Ovis aries: one gene and its partners. The protein of the gene in region 1 binds, or shares a complex with, the protein of each later gene. Links are inferred from orthologs where the notes say so. Each region holds a gene or a part of one and is shown in the gene's direction. Other genes may lie near its edges.

Evidence for each region.
Region 2: CBLL1 (region 1) and VIRMA share a complex: the UniProt entries of both Homo sapiens proteins name them as parts of the WMM complex. The link is inferred for Ovis aries from reciprocal best matches to the Homo sapiens genes CBLL1 and VIRMA.
Region 3: CBLL1 (region 1) and METTL14 share a complex: the UniProt entries of both Homo sapiens proteins name them as parts of the WMM complex. The link is inferred for Ovis aries from reciprocal best matches to the Homo sapiens genes CBLL1 and METTL14.

Annotation. Positions count from the first base shown.
Region 1 is NC_056057.1:50,283,032-50,291,164, forward strand, and holds the end of CBLL1 (E3 ubiquitin-protein ligase Hakai), read left to right. Parts: intron 1-37; coding exon 38-121; intron 122-1,104; coding exon 1,105-1,178; intron 1,179-3,760; coding exon 3,761-4,799; 3' UTR 4,800-8,035; downstream 8,036-8,133. UniProt on the Homo sapiens protein: E3 ubiquitin-protein ligase that mediates ubiquitination of several tyrosine-phosphorylated Src substrates, including CDH1, CTTN and DOK1. Targets CDH1 for endocytosis and degradation.
Region 2 is NC_056062.1:82,719,920-82,728,102, forward strand, and holds part of VIRMA (protein virilizer homolog), read left to right. Parts: intron 1-358; coding exon 359-481; intron 482-1,081; coding exon 1,082-1,354; intron 1,355-3,299; coding exon 3,300-4,440; intron 4,441-7,853; coding exon 7,854-8,183. UniProt on the Homo sapiens protein: Associated component of the WMM complex, a complex that mediates N6-methyladenosine (m6A) methylation of RNAs, a modification that plays a role in the efficiency of mRNA splicing and RNA processing.
Region 3 is NC_056059.1:7,018,412-7,026,594, reverse strand, and holds the end of METTL14 (N6-adenosine-methyltransferase non-catalytic subunit), read left to right. Parts: intron 1-4,958; coding exon 4,959-5,263; 3' UTR 5,264-6,430; downstream 6,431-8,183. UniProt on the Homo sapiens protein: The METTL3-METTL14 heterodimer forms a N6-methyltransferase complex that methylates adenosine residues at the N(6) position of some mRNAs and regulates the circadian clock, differentiation of embryonic stem cells and cortical neurogenesis.

The DNA of each region.
Region 1 (8,133 bases):
AATGCTTAAGGAAATTTTAATTATATCATTTCAACAGATAAATATCTTAGGTGAAAAGGATGATACTCCAGTTCATTTCTGTGACAAATGTGGATTACCTATTAAAATTTATGGGCGAATGGTAAGTATAACTAAGTTAAATTCTGTTTTTATAAATTTATATATTTGTGTAGAGATGAGGACTCTGAAATTTAAGTAGATAGATTTATTATTGTTTAACAATAAAGTTTATAATGAATAAGTATAAAATAGCTAAGGAAAGTTTGGGGATAATATGCATTTAATAAAATTATCTTGACAGATTCTTGGATTGCTTGTAAAATATTAATTAAGGAAACGAATTCTGAAACTAATTTCTTTGAATGGTTTGATCCTTAAGGAAAAAAATTTTTTCTTTAACAGAATCAGTTATTTCTAAAGGCTAGAATTTTTAATATAAAATGGAATTAAATATTATTTATGATTTCTGGGTATTCTAAGCACTTAAAGTACTGTAATTTTATAGTAATCTTCATATATGAAAAGATAGTTTTACATTTTTGTTGGAAAAAAATTGAATTTACTGTTAAATCTGTGGTGGTAGAAGCCGTGGATTCTGCACTGTTGCTTTGCTGTGTGGCATAACTAAGTAACAGTAATGAATTGTGAGTTTTAAAATAGTGTAACATTATTTTACTGTGTCCTTCTGATTTATTTTAAATATTTGTAAGTTCATTAACTTAAGACTACCAGGGAAGAAGGCTGCTTATATTAAATGTAGAGGATACGTATTCTTTCACTGCCATGAAATACTTTGTGGAGATAATAGGATTAGGTGAAACGTTGTACAGTATTCTTCAGGAGCTTTTAACCTGTAGGAACCATGAATGTGCATGTATATGTTTTTTGGGGAAGGGCCAAAGTTTTCATTGCATTCTCACAAAGAGCTTTGTGACTGAAGAAGGTTAACTGTTGCTTTTATGTAACTAGTACTTAATATATGTTCATTTTAACCAACAGTTCTCAAGTACCTTCCATGTCTAGGTCACTGCGCTCACTGTTGCTTTTTATTGAAATATTTTAATTTGCTCTAGAATATTAACTGTAACATGTCTCTGTTTGCAGATTCCATGCAAGCATGTGTTTTGCTATGACTGTGCTATTTTACATGAAAAAAAGGGAGATAAGATGTGTCCGGGGTAAGATCATCATTAAATTTTTAAATAATAAGGATTGTGATATAATGATTTATGATCTAGGTTAAAGGTGAGGATATGATATAGACCGTTGGCAAGATGTCAAGTGTGTAGACCTGGCAAATGTTTCTCTGTGAACCTAGAGTTGGCTATAACCTTCTCCTTAGGATAGGGCTAATTAGCTATTATCAGTTAATTCACATTGGCCAAAATAACAATAATAAATACATCACAAAGTTAGCATTATAAACCAAAAATACTTTCTTATTTTAATGGGATGCTAGACAGGTAGTATCATGTAGTGATTTCGAGCAAAGACTCTGGAATTAGAATTATTGGATTCAAATCTTTATTTTGTGATTTATTTTGTCACATACATGATTTCTTTATCTGTAAAATGGAGCTAATAATAGTACTTACCTCCCTGGGTTATTATTAGAAGTAAATGAGTAGCAGATAGCAAGTACTATGTAAGTATAATCTCTTTATTTATTGACTTCAAATCTGATTATGTCTTGAGTACATCTTACAACACCTTCATGTTCTAAGACAGGCTCAGACAAATTAAGACCATAGGGAGGTGTTGATCGATAGTGATCTTTTTGGGAATAGTAAGGATCCAGAATAAACTATGAATTTTTATATCAATTCAGAACCCCTGATAGAAGACTTAAGAAAAACCTTGAGAGAAACTTCTTTGGGAACAACTGTAGGCTTTCTAGGTCACTTATAACCTAAGTTAGAACCTATCCCAAGGGTTGTAATATTAGTTGATAATAAAATTGTGGACAGTTGTAAGGGATAGTTTTCTTTTATGGTGTAGGAAGATTAGCATCTGTGGGAGAGAATGAAGATTCATTAACAAACCAGTAAGAAGTAATTCTCTTAGCATATTTTATTAGCCCTTTAAAGTCATATATTATAAATTTTATAGTGTGAGTTTAAAGAATATTTTCTCAATAGAATTATAATTCAAAAGAATTAGGAAATTGATAGTGCATATTCACTATTTGCCTCAGTTTCTGTAGTGCCTGATTTTCCAACACAGTGTACATCCGCTTAAATTCTATAGTAAATTTGATTGCCTCATTGAGATAAGGGATTTTGGATGTTGTAAAACACCATGTAGAGGACATCAGAAGGTTTTCTCTTTTATGTAAGTGTTTTGATGTTAATATTTAAAAGGGAATTTAGTTTTCAAGTTTTTCAGTGTAACTTCAGTAAGCATATCACTGGTTGGCTTGTTAGGGATATTAAAACAAAAGCTTATCTGGATTAACAGACCTGGGTCAGAAAGTGAAGAAATGACAACCCTAATTAATGTAAATATTATATACTAATGCTTAAGCCTCACCCAAAGAAATACACCCCACCTCCCAATCCTGTTACTGTGGAGCTATTTCAGAGTTTATAGCAAATTAGAAGCAAAAAATGAGAAGTGTGCCAAATGGCCACTAAAGGGAAGCCTCCTAAGTATGAAGAAGTAGTACCAGCCTACAGTGAGGAAGAAACACCAGCCACCACTCCAAATCAAGAATATGGAGCCATTTGATACAGGTCATATGACCGGATCCACATATTCAATGATGATAGCTTATACGTGTTTAGTGCTTAACTAATCATTAAGTCCTGTCATTTTCACTGTTTCATTGATGTTTCAAATGTTCTTTTAAGTAGGGTGAAGTCTATATAAAAGCATTATGAGTTAGATTAGATGTTATAACCCATTTTACAGATAAAGAAACAAAGTTTAAATGACTTCTCCAAGATCTCAGCCAATACTAGGTCCCAGTTCCAATTCCTAGTTCAGTCTTCTTTCTGTTGTTTCAAGAAGCCTTCTAAAGGCAAAAGTGGATTAAAAAACAGCAGATGAAGAATAGTTACAATTTGACCCTGACTTATTAAGAAAATAATTGAGTTAAATTTAGTGTTTATAATTTAGAAAAGTAGGAGTGTGTAATACTTTGTAGTAGTAGATTTGTCTGACAATTCAGGAAGACTCCCTCCTTGAAAGGACTCTTGGCATTCATGGTTTGAATTTGAAATATTGTTTAATATTAAGAACCTTGATCGTTAGGATGATCCTGTTTATTTTTGTAGTTCTTACAACACCTTTCACTTAGTATCTTCTACGTAGTATTATTTGCTCATAAAATTGCTTACTGGTCAATAAATACTCTACAGGTTTGCATTTTGTGATTCTGACAAGATCCTTTGGTTTGCCCTTCCTGGAGTTTTGGGGTTTTTTGCACACGGATTCAAAACATAGAATTGTTTGTGAAATCAGATAAATTCTAAATCTTGGTAAGAAAAGGGTTTTGCTTCAAACCTACTCTGTTTGATAAACACTTTAAATTTTTTTCTTAAGAATTTTGATGTTGACAGAAATGCTGATGCTTAATAGCAAACAAACCACAAAGTGGAAAAGATTAAAAGTTCACTTACATAAACTATAACTTTTAATTGTGAACTTTTTGCAATGTTTTCCATAATAAAATTTAAAACTAGTCATATCTTTGAAATTTAGTGCATTATTTTTATAGTCTGTTTTTAGTAAATCAAACTTTTTTCCCCTTCTGATTTAGCTGTAGTGATCCTGTGCAGCGAATTGAGCAGTGTACACGAGGTTCTCTCTTCATGTGTAGCATTGTTCAAGGGTGCAAGAGAACATACTTGTCTCAGAGAGACTTACAGGCTCATATCAACCACCGCCATATGAGAGCTGGAAAACCTGTTACCCGGGCTTCACTTGAAAATGTTCATCCTCCTCCTATTGCCCCACCACCAGCTGAAATCCCCGATCGTTTTATCATGCCGCCAGACAAGCACCATATGAGCCATATTCCGCCAAAGCAGCACATCATGATGCCACCACCTCCTTTGCAACATGTGCCCCACGAGCACTATAATCAGCCACACGAGGATATCCGTGCTCCTCCAGCTGAATTGTCCATGGCTCCTCCTCCACCTCGCTCAGTCAGTCAGGAAACCTTTCGTATTTCAACAAGAAAACACAGCAATTTAATAACTGTCCCTATTCAGGATGACTCAAATCCAGGTGCTAGAGAACCACCACCTCCTGCCCCCGCACCTGCTCACCATCATCCTGAATATCAGGGTCAACCAGTGGTCTCGCACCCTCATCATATTATGCCTCCACAGCAACATTATGCACCACCCCCACCTCCTCCACCACCAATAAGCCATCCAATGCCACATCCTCCCCAGGCCGCAGGTACTCCTCACTTGGTGTACAGCCAAGCTCCACCTCCACCAATGACCTCTGCTCCACCACCAATTACCCCTCCCCCTGGACATATTATTGCCCAGATGCCACCTTATATGAATCATCCTCCTCCAGGACCTCCCCCACCTCAACATGGTGGTCCACCTGTAACTGCACCCCCTCCTCACCATTACAATCCCAACTCTTTACCCCAGTTCACTGAAGATCAAGGAACTCTGAGCCCTCCATTTACACAACCAGGGGGAATGAGTCCTGGTATATGGCCTGCACCGAGAGGGCCACCTCCTCCTCCACGAATGCAGGGTCCGCCTTCTCAAACCCCACTACCTGGACCACATCATCCAGATCAGACAAGATATAGACCGTATTACCAATGATAATAGTATTCTGAACTGATGATATGATGAGGAAACAAAACTTATATGTATAGTCAATCTTTTCTTTAAGCTTTGACTGTTCGGGGAAGGAAAAGCGCCTCTTGCTGAGGTGGCTGTACAACACTTAGGGTCTTGTCTCTTAAAATGGTTTTAAATCTTGACCTTAGGATTGATTTCAAGTACTATACTGTAGTGCAGTTAAGTGGCTCAGTTGAGCACAGCTATATTTTAAGAACTTTGTTCCCCTAGTGTGGTAAATTGACCCAGAGGTGACCATTTGTAAAAAAAAAAAAAAAAAAAAAAAATTGAAAACATTTTTCCATTGTTCCACTTTCAAAAGTACGTCTTTTGTTAAACCCAATGTTTAAGTTTTTCTTGTGATACATTTTGTTAACCTGTGTAAAAGGATTAAACTTCAATATGGTTGTAAAAATACTATTTTTATGTGAACTTAAGTGCAGCCACATACTGTTTTTTAAACCATATGTTTTACCACTAATTTCCCAAAGTTACAATAAAATCCTAAAAGTAAAAATCTAATAGAATTTACTGTAAGGCAGACTGTTAAATGGTAGAAAATTATTTCACATTTTAGGCACTGAAATTTTGAGGTATATTAGGTATATAATGCACTTCACTTGGATGCCTTTTCATTTATAGGCAGCCTCAGGAGCACCAAAATACATTGAAATTCCAGTACTAAGAATATTTATGTCTGTAATGTTAAGAGGCATTGCTTGTATTTTTGGAAAGATAGGGCCAAAGTAATCAACTCTGTAGGCTCCAAGCTGTTGGGGATGCTGTTACTCATTAATGCTTTTTACCGAATGGTTGGAGTCATATGCATCACACTTATTAACCTTAAGTAACATTTTATAGAACTGTATAAGTGGTATTCTTTAGATGAAGTGTGTTCCTCTCTGCTCATTGTCTGAAACTAAATATTTTGGGCTGAATAGGCTTTATGTAATTCCTCATTTCATGGTAGAATTTGATCCTGTGCTTAAGTGGATTCTTGTTTATTGGGTTTTAAAGTATAATTTGAATGCCATGGAGGAATTTGAATACTGTATTAATGAAGGATGTTCTTGTAATCACATACTTGCGTTGCTCAGGTTTCATTACTGTATGATAAGGTGTTTTTCTCTAACTTAACATTTAAAAACTATTACTGACTTCCTGTTTCTTTCATTGGTTAAGCAGTCTAAAACTTGGAACATTTTTTTAGCATAGAGTCAACAGTGAAGACTACCAGATGATTTTCTATTGAAGAGAAAAGTAATGTCTAAATTGTGAATTTCAATGCATTATAAGGTGCCTTCGGAGTCAGCTTTTGCATTCTAGGGGCTTGTTACAGTCCAGCTAAGATGACCACTTACAGTTTATACAGAATTCATATGTATAAATCAACATTCTTAGGATATTACTATATGTCCTTTGAATACACCCCTGTGAAGTACTTCCTCCCCCCTAAAATGGTGCATAACATAAACATGAAATGTGTAGTATACAGATACCATTTATTATTAAATAGTTTGTAGTGTATAAATTTAGAACATTTCTTTTTGACAAGAGGTGAACTGATGGCTAATTTACCATTTAATTCTGTCAGGAACAGGCAAAGCAGTTTCTCACTTTGGATAATCTGATGCAAAGTCATCTATAAATTTAGAGCTGAAATAATATAAATGGCCCTTTCAACCATGACCAGCTGAAAATAATACACTTTTTCTTTAAGTGAAAGTACGTGATTTTTCACACCTAGCAATTTGAGAGTTCAGTGTTAATGCGGTGTTTCTAATGAGAAATTGTTATTAGAAGCATAGGAGTGAAATAGTGTGAAATGGTGGTGAGTGTGTCTATCATATTACTGTAGGTACTTGGACTGGTGCAGACTTGATTACCTTTAATGGCCCTCTTTGGAGCTGTTAAAATATTATTGAAAATTCAGTACCAATAATTTGGTTTCATGTAATAGGAAATAACAAAACTCACTTTAAAGCTTCTCAGCTGTTTATGAAGAGCTCACCTGATTTAATTGAAATTCACTAGAATTGAATGTATTGAACAAACAAATGTTATCACGGTAAAATTCCACGTTAAGTCTCGTAGGCTTTAAAATTTTTTGGTTAGGTTAAAGAAATATGTGTTATGCAGGGAGGCAGTTCAGATAAATGTTGTAGCAGGCAGGTTTTTTTTTTTTTTTTTAAATGGTGTTAGACTTGAATTCATCTAGTTATTGTTTGAATGAGGGTGGGTGGGTAGAAGGATAACAAAATTACTGTTAGTGTTTCTTTCCTTAAGGAAAAAGATGTGAATCCCAGCCTTATTTCAGGGAAGCCTTTGAAGCTATGATGGACGTAAGTCTAAATTAAATGTATGTATGTTTCATTATATTGCTCTTAAAAGACTACTGAGGTGGCAGTTTAATTCTTAAAAACAATAAAATGAAAGCATAAATACTATTTTGCCTAGGTGAGTTTTTACCTAATGATGACACATTTGGGAGACTGCAGAATTTTCCACGTCGATACAACTTTTACAGCAAAATTTCACGTTTTTGGAGATTAACCAGCAGGGTGAATGTTAGTATTTCTAAAGTGACATGCTTGTTCAAAGTATAATATATAGTATTGGAGAAAATGATCAGTTGCAAAGATTGTAAGAAACTACTTAATATTCATTTTGCCCTGTAAAAAACCACTTGCTCAAGTTATTGCATAAGAGACTAACACTAATACAAATGGAAAAGATAATTTGACCATATTTTAAAACTTGAAATAGGTCATTTTATGATATGAAGTATACAGAGCTGCTTTTGGCTTTGTTCTGATGTACTGGAAGGGTATGTTTCATACGACTTTTTGGAAAAACCATGTAAACTTATTTTTGAAAAAACGTTAATGGAAAAAAAAAAAGTATGTGGAAAAATCTCAAGTACCTGAAACAAAAATACACTTTTCTGATTATTAGATCAACCATCAAATTGGTATATTGATGTTAATTGACGCTTGACATAATCATACTATATTCTAACTGAAGTGGATTTATTTTTCTTTACTGATTTGTAATTGTAATCTGTTCAGTTGTGGCCTAGACCAAGCAGACTTTACTTACTACAATATATGCACAATCTAATAAAGCAATATTGGATATACTAGACTTAAAGGGGAAAGAGAGGTAAGCCAGTTAAAATACTTGGTAATAATACTAATAAAAATATTTGAATTTTCAAACATTTTTTGTTTTGATTCATGCCCCTTCAGTTTTCTGTCTTTGAGGGGAAAAGCGTTAAGGCAGAATTGTTAAAGCAACATTTTAATATTAAACTTTA
Region 2 (8,183 bases), on another chromosome or scaffold:
GATGTATTATTTAACTGTTCAGTGATTGAAGGACATTTAGGTAAGTTTCTAGTTTTTGACTTTAGCACATAAAGTTATTTATGAGCATTTGTGTACATCTTCCTGCAAGAAAATAAGTCTCCATTTCTCTGGGATAATTCCTAAGAGTTCCGTACATTATATTTTGGTGTATGGGATGTCAGAAATTTTAACTTTCCCAATATAAACTGATTAGCAAAATTTCTGTTAGACATCAGGAACAAAAAAGTTAATAAATTCTGAGGATGAAAACCCAAATGATCAATGGCAATTCTGTCATGTATTTATATTACTAACTTTAATAATTTTAAAGTTCTTTTTCTTTTTCTAATAAAATCAGCTGATGGAGAGAAAGAAGATCAGTTTAATGGAAGCCCTCCAAGACCACAGCCAAGGGGACCAAGAACTCCACCAGGACCCCCGCCCCCTGATGATGATGAAGATGATCCCATGCCGTTGCCAGGTAGAAATAATAATATTTTTTCCTCTCTTGATTAATGGTAATATAATAGTACTTTTTTATTAGAGGAAAAAAAATAGATGCTGGTAATCAAATCTTGATGAATGTCCCCCACCCCCATTCTGAGCAGTGTTTTCTTGTGGGTTTTTTTTTTTATTGTTATTGTTGTTGGCAAGTGAATTTGTTTAAAAGAGAAATCAGTTAATTTATTTGAAACTGAAGCAACATTGCTTTGAAAATAAAATGTTAATGTACTATAATGACAGTACAGAGAAGCACCAGTAAAAATAACCTGTATGTATTGGAAGAGATAAAAATCTGTAGTTACTTAATAGCTAAAAAAGAGGATTATTGTGTAAAAACATAAAATAGCATACTTTGTTAATTCACACTCTAGAAAATTGTGCAGTGTTTACTCTTAATATTTTTTTTCCCTCCCCCCTCCTTAATATTTTTTAAGAGCAAGTAATTCTACTACTTTTTTTTAAAGTGTGTTTATGAGCTAAATCATCCAAAATATTAAATAGTTACAATATCCAGTCCTTCTGCCTCTTATTATTTAAATAGTTAAAATAATCTGTGCCTTAAATATCAATTTTTCAGTGTCTGGTGACAAGGAAGAGGATGCTCCTCATAGAGAAGATTACTTTGAACCCATTTCTCCTGATCGGAATTCTGTTCCCCAGGAAAGTCAATATTCTGATGAAGGAGAGGTAGAAGAGGAACAGCAAGAAGAAGGAGAAGATGATGAAGATGATGTGGATGTAGAGGAAGAAGAGGATGAGGATGAAGATGATCGCCATACAGTAGATAGTATCCCTGAGGAGGAAGAGGAGGATGAAGAGGAAGAAGGTGAAGAAGATGAAGAAGGTGAAGGTGGGTGAATTAGCTAGGACTTCTTGCTTTTAAGTGCTGGAAACTAGCTTGATGTAGCTTTTAGCAATGCAGAAAAATTTATAGCTGACACAAGTGGCTTTCAAGAAACCCAAGAGTCAGCTGGGCCTTGAGACTTGACTAGACTTGAGGATTTCCATCTTTGCTTTGCTTTGTTTATCTGTTATTTAGTTAGAAAAATGAATTTAGGTGTTTTTTTTTTTTTTTAACTAACTATTATGTCTCTAGTTACCCCACATCTTTAATATCTTCTCTTTAACCAACCAATTTAAACTGCCTGTGTCTCAGATCCATTTCCAGTTTTCTGGGAGAGAGATTCTGTTTGCCTTGCTGTGGTATCAGCTTCCCCTTGATACCATTGGCTTTTCCCAGGGAAGCGAGGATATGCAGCAAATACATGGTGATTAGGGATTTGGTGATCTGTCTTCAGAGGAGTGGTGTTTTAAGCTGCCTAGAATCCCCAAAGATTTCTGTCACCTCAATATTTTGGCTGAATAATAATATCTAATTATTATTAGACATGCACAAGGAGAAAAAAATCTTAATTACAGAAGGACATAAGGCAGCCTGATGCAGTCTTTTAGTTCGGTCTTATTTTTCCTTTGAAAGCAAAAAGAGCTGTTCAAGCTAATTGACTCTTAATTTGTTGAGTAAATGGAGTGTAATGTTAAAGTATTTATGTAAAATGACAGATCATCTGCTTTGTTCTATAAGATATTAAAGAGGAGAGTCATTCTACATGAGAATGAGAACCATTTCAGTATTATAGGGGCCCTTTTACAAAATACAAGTAATTGAGTTATTGAGTGATAACTCTTTTAACTGACCCCATTTCTAGGATACCAATAAATCTAATAAATTTTAGATTTACTGCATTTGGTAGTAGTTAGATTTCAGGCAGGCTTTGTTAATCAGAGGACATTTTTAGAGAGGATAAGAGAATGAGGCTGGTTAATTTGATTCTTACCAAAAGACATCTGGGGGTTAGTCTCGAATCAAGTCTCTTTGCTGCTGCTGCTAAGTCACTTCAGTTGTGTCCGACTCTATGCGACCCCATAGACGGCAGCCCACCAGGCTCCCCCGTCCTCGTGTTTTAGGCCCTTTCTTTTCAAATATGAGTGTATTGCTGTGGCTAAGTTGTTTAGAGCTTAAGAATGTCCATAGAGGGCTGTTACTGGAGGAGTACCGTGGAAACATTTCCTTTTCTTTCTTAGGCTGTTGTTACTCATCTCTGTTTTACCACAGCCAGGTAACAGTTGTATTTAAAACTAACAGATTTTCTGTCTCTAGTCTTCTATTACTGAATAGAGGGAAAGCTGCACGTGTCATGATATGAAAACTCTGTTTTGGCAAAGATGGGTACTTTTATAAACATTTTCCATAAAAACATGATACAGAACTGGGAACTGGGTAACAGGTAAACACAGAGTAGTAGAAGTGAAGGAATATGAAATTCTAGAATGCTTTTCCTGACAATATTTGGTGTAACTTGGTAATTACAGTATTAAGTCTTAGTTAATTTAATAATTTTGGCCCATCAATTCATTTTTTCCATCTTAAAAATACTCTCTCACAAGGCAAGCTTAATTTCTTCCCTCCTGAGAGGTATTTTTGGTTCTTTTTTATTTTTTTGAGACATTTCTGATTTTAGTTCTATGAGGAAAAGATTTATAGCAGAGTTATTGTAAAGCTGAACAGATATAATAGAAGACTTTGCTTATGAAGTTTCTCTGTAATTGTTCTATTAGGAGTTATAAAATGTTAATAAGTGTTGATAAGATATTGAGGCAGAAGTTAATACTGTTGATAGGATCATTACTTTTCATATTTTTGCCATGTTACTAAATAATTTATTTTGAGTAACCAGATTGTTTTGTACTAAACAACAATGATGTAACAACTAAGTATTATTTAAACTGATTTTCAGGGGATGATGGTTATGAGCAGATTTCCAGTGATGAAGATGGAATTGCTGACTTGGAACGTGAAACATTCAAGTATCCAAACTTCGATGTCGAATACACTGCTGAAGACTTAGCTTCAGTCCCTCCTATGACATATGACCCATATGATAGGGAGCTGGTACCACTCTTACACTTCAGCTGTCCGTACAAGACTACCTTTGAAATCGAAATCAGTAGGATGAAGGATCAAGGTCCAGATAAAGAAAACTCAGGGGCAGTAGAAGCCTCAGTGAAGTTAACTGAACTGTTGGATTTGTATCAAGAAGATAGAGGTGCAAAATGGGTAACAGCTTTAGAAGAAATTCCAAGTTTAATAATAAAAGGACTAAGTTATTTGCAGTTGAAAAACACAAAACAAGATGCCCTTGGCCAGTTGATAGACTGGACCATGCAAGCTTTAAATTTACAAGTAGCCCTTCGCCAACCCATTGCCTTAAATGTCCGACAGCTCAAAGCTGGGACCAAATTAGTGTCCTCACTAGCAGAATGTGGGACCCAAGGAGTCACGGGACTGCTACAAGCAGGAGTGATCAGTGGCTTATTTGAGCTCCTGTTTGCTGATCATGTCTCATCTTCCCTTAAGTTAAATGCATTTAAAGCTTTGGACAGTGTCATTAGTATGACAGAAGGAATGGAAGCTTTTTTGAGAAGTAGGCAGAGTGAAAAAAGTGGCTATCAGAAACTTCTGGAGCTCATACTTTTAGATCAGACTGTGAGGGTTGTCACTGCTGGTTCAGCTATTCTTCAGAAATGCCATTTCTATGAAATTTTGTCAGAGATTAAAAGACTTGGTGACCATTTAGCAGAGAAGACGACTTCTGTTCCTAACCACAGCGAACCTGATCATGATACAGATGCTGGAGTTGAGAGAACAAACCCAGAATATGAAAACGAGGTAGAGGCTTCTATGGATATGGATCTTCTGGAATCCTCAAATATAAGTGAAGGAGAAATAGAAAAGCTGATTAACCTCTTAGAGGAAGTTTTTCATTTAATGGAAACTGCACCTCATACAATGATCCAGCCTCCTGTTAAGTCTTTCCCAACAATGGCACGTATTACTGGTCCACCAGAGAGGGATGATCCATACCCTGTTCTCTTTAGGTGAGACATTTTTGGCTTTGGAAAGTATATTTCACCAATTATTAGAGGCAGTTTCATGTGGTTGCCTTTTTTTTTAAGCTGCAAAGCTTTGTTTTACTGTTTTTATTTTATAATTTTATTTATTATTTACTTACATTTTGGCCATGCTGGGTCTTAGTTCCTGTGCTTTTCTCTAGTTGGGGACGAATGGAGGCTACTCTTCATTGCAGTGTGAGGGCTTTTCATTGCAGTGGATTCTCTTATTGCAGAGCACAAGCTCTAGGGCACATGAACTTCGGTAGTTGCAGTTTGTGGGTTTGGTAGTTGCAGTTCCTGGGCTCAGAAGCACAGGCTTAATAGTTGTGGTACACAGGCTTAGTTGCTGTGTGGCGTGTGGGATCTTCCTGGACCAGGGATTGAAGTGTCTCCTGCGTTGGCAGATGGATTCGTTACCACTGAGCCACCAAGGAAGCCCCTTGTTTGTTTGTTTTAAATTTGTCTATAGGTAATGTGTGTCTTGGTAAGGATGCCTTGATATTTCAGGATAGGTCATAGTGAGAAGTGTGTTACTGTATGTGAGCTATATTTTGTTAATACTTAAAAGTAGTAATAGCAACTTAAGTTAAAGATATAAGTAATAACCAACCATAGTGCTTATATTAGCATATCTGTGAGCAAGAATAAAGGAGAAATTACCAGGTTGCTTCTGGGAAGGTGAAGCAGAGGATGGCATAGGAAGGAGAGAGCTTTTCTGTGTAAGCTCTTTGTACCTTATGATTCTAAAACATTGTAAGTGAAGTTGGTACTTTACTAAGTTAATTTTGCAGTCCTTGTTAAGATATATTAAAGGTTCAGTTGTCACTTGTTTCTCCCTTCTAACCCTCTAGTTATCTATTGATACAGTTTTGCCGTTTTTAGGTACTCACAGATTTTTAAAATTTGCTTTAATTTTTGAGAGTTTCTTTTTTTTTTTTTTTTGGTATTTTGCCTCTAAATAATTTTTTAACAAATATAAAAATTGCAGTTTTATTATTTTATTCCTTATTTCAGTGATTTTTTTTGCCTGGCTTTGGAGCATAATGTATTAACAAAAAAATCAATACTCTCCATTCTAAAATCTGTACCTATCCATTCTTGTTTTTAGCTGAAACTCATATTTGCCTTAGCTTGAATTCATACAGGAGTTTAAGATGATAATTGCTAGAGCAAGGTCTAGTAGGAGATGAGGCCAAGAGTACAAGTGTAGCAGTTTCGCTTTGAACAAGAGAACGGAAATGTTTGAGTATACAAATACAGTTATCTTTGTAGTATGGAGACAGTAGAGGAGACAGGTGCTTCTCACTGGTCATGTTTTTGGTAAATTAAGACTTAAAGTAATGCCCTGAGGGTGACTGAGTATAAGAAAAGAGATGATGCTCCCAAATAGTTGTTGAGGGGAAACCAGTAATTAATGGCCTATAAAGTATTGTTGGTTTTTCTCCTCCCATAATTGGAGATCGTACATTTGGGTGTCAGATTTTAGGAGATAAAGGGTTTTGAATGCTGGGCTAAGGAATTTTTTTTTCTGTTTTTTTTTTTGGCTGTGCTGCTTGGTGCATGGGATTTTAGGTCCCTGATCAGGGGTTGAATCCAGGCCCCTGACAGTGAAAGCACTGAATCCTAACTGCTGGATGGCCAGGGAATTCCTGGGGATTTCGTTTTTAGAATGTGGAAGATCTTGAATATTTTAGAGTAGCAGATCTGATATGATCGAAGTAGTGTTCTAAGATTATATTATATTATAATATAATTATATTGAGAGTTTGTGGTGGAGCGTTACTTGGACTTGGCAATTGGACCTGATAAGAGAAAGTAAGAAGGAGCTAAAATGCTTTGAGGTTTCTAACTAGGGTAACTACTGGAACTGTGATTTTATGGACAGAAATTGATAAATTAGGAGGGAGAGTGAACTTTGAAAAGAGAAGTAATTACATTTTGGAAGGGTTAGTTTGAAGTGATGGCAAGGCTCTAATATCCCATGTTGGAGTCTTCAAGGTAACCCCCAGATTGACTAGCTGGATTCATAGGACTCAGTGTTGTAATCTCAATCAGGATTTATTACATCAAAAAGATATAAAACACAATCCCCAAAGGGAAGAGATACATGAGACAAAGCCTGGGAAAATGAGTCATAAGCTTCCAGAGTCCTTTCCTAGTTTAGGCACAAAGGATCCCCTTAAGTCCCCTGACAATAAATTGTGACATGTGTGAAATGTTGCATACTGAGAAAGTTCATTAGAATCTCAGCATCCAAGCTTCCTATTGGGGGATAGCCATGTAGGCACCCAGTGTCTTGCATGTCCCAGAATTTCAGACTGCCAGAGAGAAAGCAGGTATTCAGAATGAACCATATTATTTGCATAAAGTTTATTTGCAGTGAGTATTCTTATCAGTTGGTGGGTGGAAACTATCCCAAAATCCAAGTCCCTAGAGGCCAGCCAAGGACCAGCCTTTCTAAGAATAAGCATTCTGAGGCCTGCCATGTTAACTATTTTCTGAACATTCCATAAGGTGATTAAGGATGCTCTTAAGAGCATAGAAGTGTTTACCTTTGTGGTAAGCATTTACTGCAGGTGTTTTCCTCATGATATAGAAGCCTGAGTTTAAGCAGAAATATGATTGAAAAGGCAATTTTATGCTTTTTGATTACAACTATGTGACATTCTGGAAAAGGCAAAACTATGGAGACAGTAAAAAGATCAGTGATTGCCAGGAATTAGGAGCTAGTTAGGGGATGCATAGATGGACACAGAGTATTATTAAGACAATGAAAATACTCTGTATCAGTAGCAGTTGTGTCTATTAGGGGTTTTAGGTAAATTCATACCTTATCTACTAAAACTGTGTGTACTAAAAAATGGTTCTTGGACGTAATAAAAGAGTACTGTTATATTAAGTACTGAAGATTGATAATTTGACCTTTTTTTCTTCCTAGAAGTACCGGTTCAGATATACTACCTGTAGTAAATCTGAATATACCAAATGCTTTTTATAGTATATGCACTGTATTCTTCCTAGATGCATGGATTCAGATATACTGATATGCTATGAGTTGAGTAGGACCATAGTTAAAAAGGAAGGAGCCATTTCATAAGTGGCCTGGAAAGAAGGCCCAGAATTTAAAGTCAAGGTTGATTCTGGAAAGAGAAAATTTGTCAACAGTTACTAATTAAACATCTTTTGAATGCTAGGAAAAAGCCTTATAGAACTTTCACTTTCATTTGGTCCCGTGGAGAGAAGACTTGCTGTTCACATTATGTTTTTAAATAAAGCGGTATATTGCTGAGGATAAGGATTATTGCTATTAAAATTTTTAGCACTACCTGTCTAATGAAAACTGAGTAAATGAAATGTTTTGCGCTGACTTAACGTATATCTTGTTACTTCTTCTGCAGGTATCTTCACAGTCATCACTTCCTGGAGTTGGTTACTTTGCTCCTGTCAATTCCAGTGACAAGTGCGCATCCTGGTGTGCTGCAAGCCACGAAAGATGTTTTAAAGTTTCTTGCACAGTCACAAAAGGGTCTTCTTTTTTTTATGTCAGAATATGAAGCAACAAATTTGTTGATTCGAGCTCTTTGTCATCTTTATGATCAAGATGAAGAAGATGGTCTCCAGTCTGATGGTGTTATTGATGATGCGTTTGCCTTATGGCTACAGGACTCAACACAGACATTGCAGTGTATTACAGAACTGTTCAGCCATTTTCAGCATTGTACAGCCAG
Region 3 (8,183 bases), on another chromosome or scaffold:
GAGTGTTACTTTGCATGTGAAGTGAGTGCAATTGTGTGGTAGTTTGAACATTCTTTGGTGTTGCCCTTTTTTGGGATTGGAATGAAAACTGACCTTTTCTAGTCCTGTGGCCGCTGCTGAGTTTTCAATCTTTGCTGGCATATTGAGTGCAGCACTTTCACAGCATCACTTTTTAGAATTTGAAATAGCTCAGCTGGAATTCTATCACCTCCACTAGCTTGGTTCATATTTATGCTTCCTAAGGCCCACTTGTCTTCGCACTCCAGGAGGTCTGGTTCTAGGTGAGCGATCACACCATTGTGGTTATCCAGGTCATTAAGACCTTTTTTGTACAGTTCTTCAGTGTATTCTTGCCACTTATATCTCTTCTGCTTCTGTAAGGTCCATACTGTTTCTGTCCTTTATTGTGCCCATCTTTGCATGAAATGTTCCTTTGGTGTCTCGGATTTTCTTGAAGAGATCTCTAGTCTTATTGTATTTTCCTCTATTTCTTTGCATTGAACACTGAGGAAGGCCTTCTTACTCCTTGTTCTTCTTTGGAACTCTGCATTCAGACGGGTATATCTTTCCTTTTCTCCTTTGCCTTTTGCTTCTTTTCTTTTCTTGGCTATTTGTAAGGCCTCCTCAAACAACCATTTTGCTTTGTTGCATTTCTTTTTCTTGGGGATGGTTTTAACCACTGCCTCCCTGTATAGTGTTAGGAACCTCCGTCCATAGTTCTATATGCTGTATCAGATCTGATCTCTTGAATGTATTTGTCACTTCCACTGTATAATCATAATGAACTTGATTTAGGTGAAACATGAATGCCCTAGTGGTTTTCCCTACTTTCTTCAATTTAAGTCTGAATTTTGCAATAAGGAGTTCATGATCTGAGCTACAGTCAGCTCCTGGTCTTGTTTTTGCTGACTGTGTAGAGCTTCTCCATCTTTGTCTGCAAAGAATATAATCAATCTGATTTCGGTGTTGACCATCTGGTGATGTCCATGTATAGAGTTGTCTCTTGTATTGTTGGAAGAGGGTGTTTGCTATGACCACCTTAATGTTTGCTTTACATTGGTACAACCTGTTCTGTGTCCCCTTTTCTCTCATTTCTTTTGGATTAAGAATTCTTATATTATTCAAGTGTTTCTTTTTTATTTTGTTAGATATTCTTTTATTGTTCCTTCACTGGTTTTCTTGGAAATTGCAGCATGTACCCTTGAATTATTAAATTTAAATTAAAGTAGCATATTGGGTTTTTTTTTAAAGGGTAGGAAGGCTATGGTTTAAACTTCATCGTTTCTTTAGTCTTTTAAAGGCAGTTTTTCTCTATATATACAGTCATGCCTGAGTTTTACACACATACTAGATATACAGCTACAGAATGAACTTTGAGTTGTTGAGACTTCTGCTGTACATATACATGAACATCTTGTTTAGAGGTTTAGTAGATGATTTTACTCTCTTATCAAAGTAAAATATTTTGGCAACAGAGCTTGTGGCAAGCAAATATTTCCTCTTCACTGGCTTAAAAGAAAGTAATATGACTAGATGCTCAGCTGGAGTTGTATGTTTTTCAGAAAGTGTAGATGTCCATAGGTATTGAATATTAAGATTATGGCTGTAGTGTTTGAGGAAATAAGGAACAGATTTTTATCTTCCATCATTAACCTTTGTACTCAAAAATAGTTTTTGAATCTGGGAACAATCTCCAGTGGGAACTGCTATTTAAAGGAAGTAGAAAACTGTAAAGAAAACAGCAAAGCTATTTGAACAATAAAAGGGAACATCAAACAGATGGTAATCTTTTTTAGTAATTGAAAAGTCAGTGTAACAACATTAAAGAAGATTTTCAAGAGGGAAAAAGATTCAACCTCACTACTTCCAAGAAGTATTATTTTTTTGCATAATACTTTCCAGTCCTCTTGTGCATACAAATTTTTACATAACTGTGTCATTCATCATTTTGTATTTTTCTCAATATTATGTCAAAATATATGTCAAAATTATTTCTACATTTAAGTAATTATAATGCTTTTAATGGCTTTATAGCATTATTTTAAGTTTTTTTTTTTTAATGTGAGTGGAAGAACCTAAGGAGTAGAGAGAGTAGATAATTATTAAGTATAGCTATAGATATAAACCTAAACAGCAACTGAAATAAAAATACAAATTTTGGTGCCAGTTTGTATTTATAATATTCTATAACTATAACATAATGGGAATTTTCTCCATTCATTTAGGTATGGCCACTCTACCCACTTTATATTATACATTATATCTCTGATACCCTTCTGTCTATATCTATACCAGTTGTACAAAGTCTTAGAGATTTAGATTTTATTTTTTGCTTGTAAACTACTATCTGATTCTTTATCTTTGCCCATTCTTGCACAGATTATTTTAGTATTAAGAAAGAATATCCACTTTGGAAAATTATGTAGTAGAAAGTTAACCATGTAAATAATAATAGGAGCAATTGAGAGAAGTCTGTTCAAGAGGCTATAATTTATTTGGGTCAAATCCTCAAATACATTTCTTCCTCAAGGAGATAGTCTAAGGTATATAACACATTCCAGAGGAATAGTCTTTATTATTGCTTTAAATGTTTAAAAATTGATATATGTATCATATTCACTGAAGCCGGGCTAATTTAAAGTTACTTGGTTCTTAGAAATTAAGGATTCAAAATTTTAATAGAACACTGTTGCAGTGAAGAATTTGTGAGTGGGAGGTAGTGTCCCTTGCAGTTTACTTTGTAAAGGTTTATGTCTTATTTATGGAGGGCAATATAGCATGAAGGAGACAATATTAACTATTTTTATTAAATCTTCGAATTTTTTCTTACCTCTTGCTTGTGTGTTGTGTTCCACAGCACCATATGTATAGTAGAAAATAAACCAAAAGCAAGTAAAAGTCTCATAGGTTCAATTGTCAGTGAGACCACATAGGTGTGCAGTGTATTCTTTCATCTCATTTTTATCAAGGTGTCTACTTGATGGGACATGAAAAGCATCATATGGTTTTATCTGTTATTTTTCTCCAGATAGTAACAGATTTTATCTGTGCACTGTTAGACGATTTAAATGATGAACACAGTTTTGTACAAAAAAAAGGCTACTACATTTTAGAATGTGACTGCAGTAAAATATTTTCCATTTTATCATGGACCTAATAGTCTAAGTCCCATCACTCCATGGGAAAGATGGAGAAACAGTGGAAACAGCGGCAGACTTTATTTTTGGGGGCTCCAAAATCACTGCAGATGATGGCTGCAGCCATGAAATTAAAAGACGTTTACTCCTTGGAAGAAAAGTTATGACCAACCCAGATAGCATATTCAAAAGCAGAGACATTACTTTGCCGATTAAGGTCCGTCTAGTCAAGGCTATGGTTTTCCAGTAGTCATGTATGGATGTGAGAGTTGGACTGTGAAGAAGGCTGAGCGCCGAAGAATTGATGCTTTTGAACTGTAGTGTTGGAGAAGACTCTTGAGAGTCCCTTGGACTGCAAGGAGATCCAACCAGTCCATTCTGAAGGAGATCAACCCTGGGATTTCTTTGGAAGGAATGATGCTAAAGCTGAAACTCCAGTACTTTGGCCACCTCATGTGAAGTGCTGACTCATTGGAAAAGACTCTGATGCTGGGAGAGATTGGGGGCGGGAGGAGAAGGGGATGACCAAGGATGAGATGGCTGGATGGCATCACTAACTCGATAGATGCAAGTCTAAGTGAACTCTGGAAGTTGGTGATGGACAGGGAGGCCTGGCGTGCTGTGATTCATGGGCTCACAAAGAGTTGGACACAACTGAGTGACTGAACTGAACTGAATAGTCTAAGATTATCTTGATAAGGCAGAAATTGTGTGAGATTAATTTTTCAGGTAAAGAACCTAATTCTTAGAGATTCCTCGACCTGCCCTAATGATCAGGAATTGCCACATGCAGGGAACCTCAAAGCACGTGGTCTCCATCAGGCATTTACAGTTAATTTGTAGTTCTTCCTGTTGCAGATACAATGTAATCAAACAGAAACCATCCTTATAAGGAAAATTATCTAGCAATGAAATTGACAAAACCTTTTTACCTGTAGAAATATAATATGTAATGGAAATTCAGAAAGATAATTCATTTCATTAAGCTACATGTTTAAAGTGGATGTTGAAGGATGGAATTTTCACCAGGTTGACAGGATAGAAAAAATTATAGGTACAAGGTGGAGATCAGTGTGCAAACAGTTAACTGTAGTGGTTCATTGTTTCAGCAGTGCGATTAGAAAGCTAGTTCAGACCTTATCATATAAGGCTTCCGATTCCATGTTACTGAATTCTGGCTTAGTGGAAAGCCCAGAAGGTTGTGCAGAGAAGGAATGTGGTTTCAGCTTTGCTTTAGGCTTTCCACTTTTAGAGGAGGAGAGGTTGGGAAAGCATTACCGTATACAAGTATGTCTGTTGTATGTGTAGGGGACAAAACTAGTAGAAAAACAAAAACTCTAAGGGTGGCAGCAGAAATGGAAAGATGGTAACAAGTAGAAGCAGCATGGTAGTAGGTTGAATTTCTAAGACCTGCCAGCTGGGTTAGCGTGGTTGGAAGAGAAGAAGCAAAAGTTAGTTCCAGGATGTTAATTAGAAAACTGGAACCATTTCTACAAGTAGGAAGGTAATACAAAATTTAATAAATTTTTACTAAGCCAGAACTCAGTGTAGTGTCTAATATTTTCTAAATCCTATTCTCACAGAAATATGGATGGAAATGACGATTATATTATAAAAGTTTTTAAAAGGAAAAAACAAAACAAATATATATATGAAATCAAAGACCATAGTTAAATGCCACATGTTCTATGTAAAATATCAATATTGGGTAAGTGATAGGGGCATCTTTGGAAATACACTGGAGATTTGAAATGGCTCCTAAAGATAAGTAAGAGAATTGGGGGGGAAGAAAAAGGTTAATGTTTTTTCCCTCCGTTTCAGGGTGGCTTACAGTTGGACCAACTCTTACAAATAGTAACTACAATGCAGAAACGTATGCATCCTACTTCAGTGCCCCGAATTCCTATTTGACTGGATGTACAGAGGAAATTGAGAGACTTCGACCAAAATCACCTCCTCCCAAATCTAAATCTGATCGGGGAGGTGGAGCTCCCAGAGGAGGCGGAAGAGGTGGCACTTCTGCTGGCCGTGGGCGAGAGAGAAATCGATCTAACTTCCGAGGAGAAAGAGGTGGCTTCAGGGGGGGCCGTGGAGGAGCACACAGAGGTGGCTTTCCACCTCGATAGTTTTTAGGTCACTGATCCTATTAATGCCCCTTCACCTTCTTTCCGATAGTTTGAATTTCACCCAGGAGATGTTTAGAACTCTGTTCCAGCTTGCACTTTGCTTTAGTTTCTCTAAGCTACAGGAATATTTTAATCAACCTCCCTTGCAGTTGTCACTGTCACGTTTTATTCAGGGTAAGTGAGTCATCCTGGCTTTCGTCCTGTGCATGTAACCTGAGTGGAACAACACAAATACCTTCGCTTTCAGAAACGGAATTTAGTCTAATTACAAAGGCTTTTGCTTTTTAGGAATAAAGTGAGCAGTGAAAAAGACCCAGTCTGAAGTATCATACGGGTGCTGACAGTAGTTGATCATGGGCATCCCACCATTGCTGTCACAGCAAATGGGAAGCTGTTTGCAGGCTTGATCGAGTGGAGTTGGGACAGATGGTAAACTTCTCTTAGGGTTTCAACATTTTCTCATTGAAACAATAAAAGAGACTTTTTTTCTTTCTTTTTGAAAAATCTTAAGTAAACTCGTGTAGTTTGATCACAGAAGAAATTAAGAGACTTGGAACAAAAGCCTCCTCCCAGGTTTAAATCTGATCAGGGAGGTGGAGCCACTGGGTGGGCAGAGAGGAGTAGAGCCCATAGACATACTTTTACAAAGAGGGGAAAAGTGCTCATTATAATCTCAGTTGTGCAGCTACCAATGACTGTTACTCATGCTTCCTAAGAAGCTGACGAGGACAAATAGCCAAGCAGCTAAGGACAATAAAACTTTGGTGTGATCTTGGATTGACTTTCAAAGCAGTTTCATATTCCTTAGCAAAATAAAAGAATAAAAGCAACAGATACACCTGGTTATCAGGTGCTTGGTTTAAACATTTTGGGGAATAAAGTACTTGGTGATGGGAAAATAACATGCATCTTTAAACTTGTTATGGAGAAAAGGTAAAACCAATTACAGAAAACCCTCAACTTAAGAAGAGAGCTTGGAAAAATGAACTGCAGTTGCCTTCTAAGGGACTGGTTTTCCAGATAAGTTGTATGAAATTTTATATGGTCATTTCTATACTGTCACTCATGTTTTGCATGAATCTGCTAAATGAAATAATACCATTATTGTTGATAAACATATTTTTTATCTTATGTATGATTTTTCTAATGAAACTTTAAACCTTTGAACTTCGAGAGTCTCTTTTCTGTGAGTGGAATTGTCATTACCAAATGAAAAAGGATTGACCTCAGATGAGACTATTCTCTTGGTCTGTGAGTAGTCCTTTATGTGTATTGGCTCATAAAATGAGGTTATGTTATATCCTTTAAAGACTCAGTTTGAAGATAGGGACTGAATTATAGGAATATGCTTGAGATCCTTAAAAGCGTGATGAATTTTACTTGCTCAACCTGTTAGACCTTTCTAGTACAGGTAGCATTTGACTAATGTTCTTCTTGATGTAGATATGATGTGGAACTGTTCGTTAGAATTTTTACTGAAATGGTGGTACATTTTCAGCTCCAGTAATTAATAGAGAGAACTCTATTTGTTAAAGGTGACCTGGGAATGAAGAAGATAGATACTCAGTTGCCCAGTGGGAGTCCTTAGACACACCAGCTAGGGAGTGATTCTGTCCTTTAAATAGGACTCTAGTCTGGTTCCTGCTCTGGGTCAGCTAGAACAGAGTTCGTGGTGGGGAATATCGTACCCAAATACTACTGAACCATATTAGACCAGGGAATTGTTGTGATGTCAGTCGCAGTGTAGAATGAGACAGCACAGTGCACGAGGCGTCGAGCTTTTTAGTGGGGAATCAAGTGTGGAGTCAGACTCCACAGGCTGCATATCCAGAGTTGGAGTGGGAATCAGGGCTGCACCAGAGTTGGAGTGGGAATCAGGGCTGCACCAGAGTTGGAGTGGGAATCAGGGCTGCACCAGAGTTGGAGTGGGAATCAGGGCTGCACCAGCTAATACTTTGGTAAGTAGAAGAGCTACCTCCTATAAGTCCTTAGCTCATAAAAACTACATACCTCTCTTATTTGTAAACCAAGTAATTGCTGTGCCACAGTTTCACTTTAAATTGATGGGATTGTAATGGTTGGATGCCTGGGACAGCACACTGTAACTGAGAATGATTCCTTTGCATGTCTCTTAAAATACTTTCTACCCATTTTAGTCGTTAACTTACAATGTTCTGATTACAGCACCTGATTTTTAAAACCTATACTTTTTTCATTCTGAACTTAAGAACGTAAGAGTTAGTCTATAGTTCTAGATTTTATTGATTTGGTATAATTTTTATCAACTTGACAAAATGATACCCCAGTTGGGATTCATTCTAAATGATAGTCTTTGATCGGAAAGTCTCTTTTTGAGTGCGCTGTTAAAAACATACGCTTTTGTGTATAAGAAAGGCTTTTCTTGGAACAGTCCTGTATAATCTTGGGGTCCATATAGGACATTAGCATTATCTTTGATGTTCAGTGATAGGGACTTAAGTATATGCTGTCAGTTTTTAAGCTATAAACCTGGGACTCCCCAGGAGGTTAGAACATTTATCTGGCAAATTGAGCCCATTGAAGACTCCCATTTCTGAAAAGTCACATTTGCTTCTGCTCTCAAGATGCCCAGTCAATTACTCATATGAACATTGTTAGGTATAATGCACAGACAAAATACTACCTCATTTAATCTAGATGTTCTTTTTCTGTAAACCCTTTTTCTAGAATTTGACAAAATATTAAAATGATCAGTTTGAGTCTGTGTTATAGTTCTTCTGTAACTAGAGGGGCTGATGAACAATGAAATCAAATAAGGTAGGTTTTTTCCAAAAATGCTTCTAAAAAATTAAATTTGAAGTCAGTGATATAAAGTGCATATAGGAATTAGGTATAGTTTTTTAAAAAAAAAAAAAGGAATTAGGTATATAATGTGAATCAG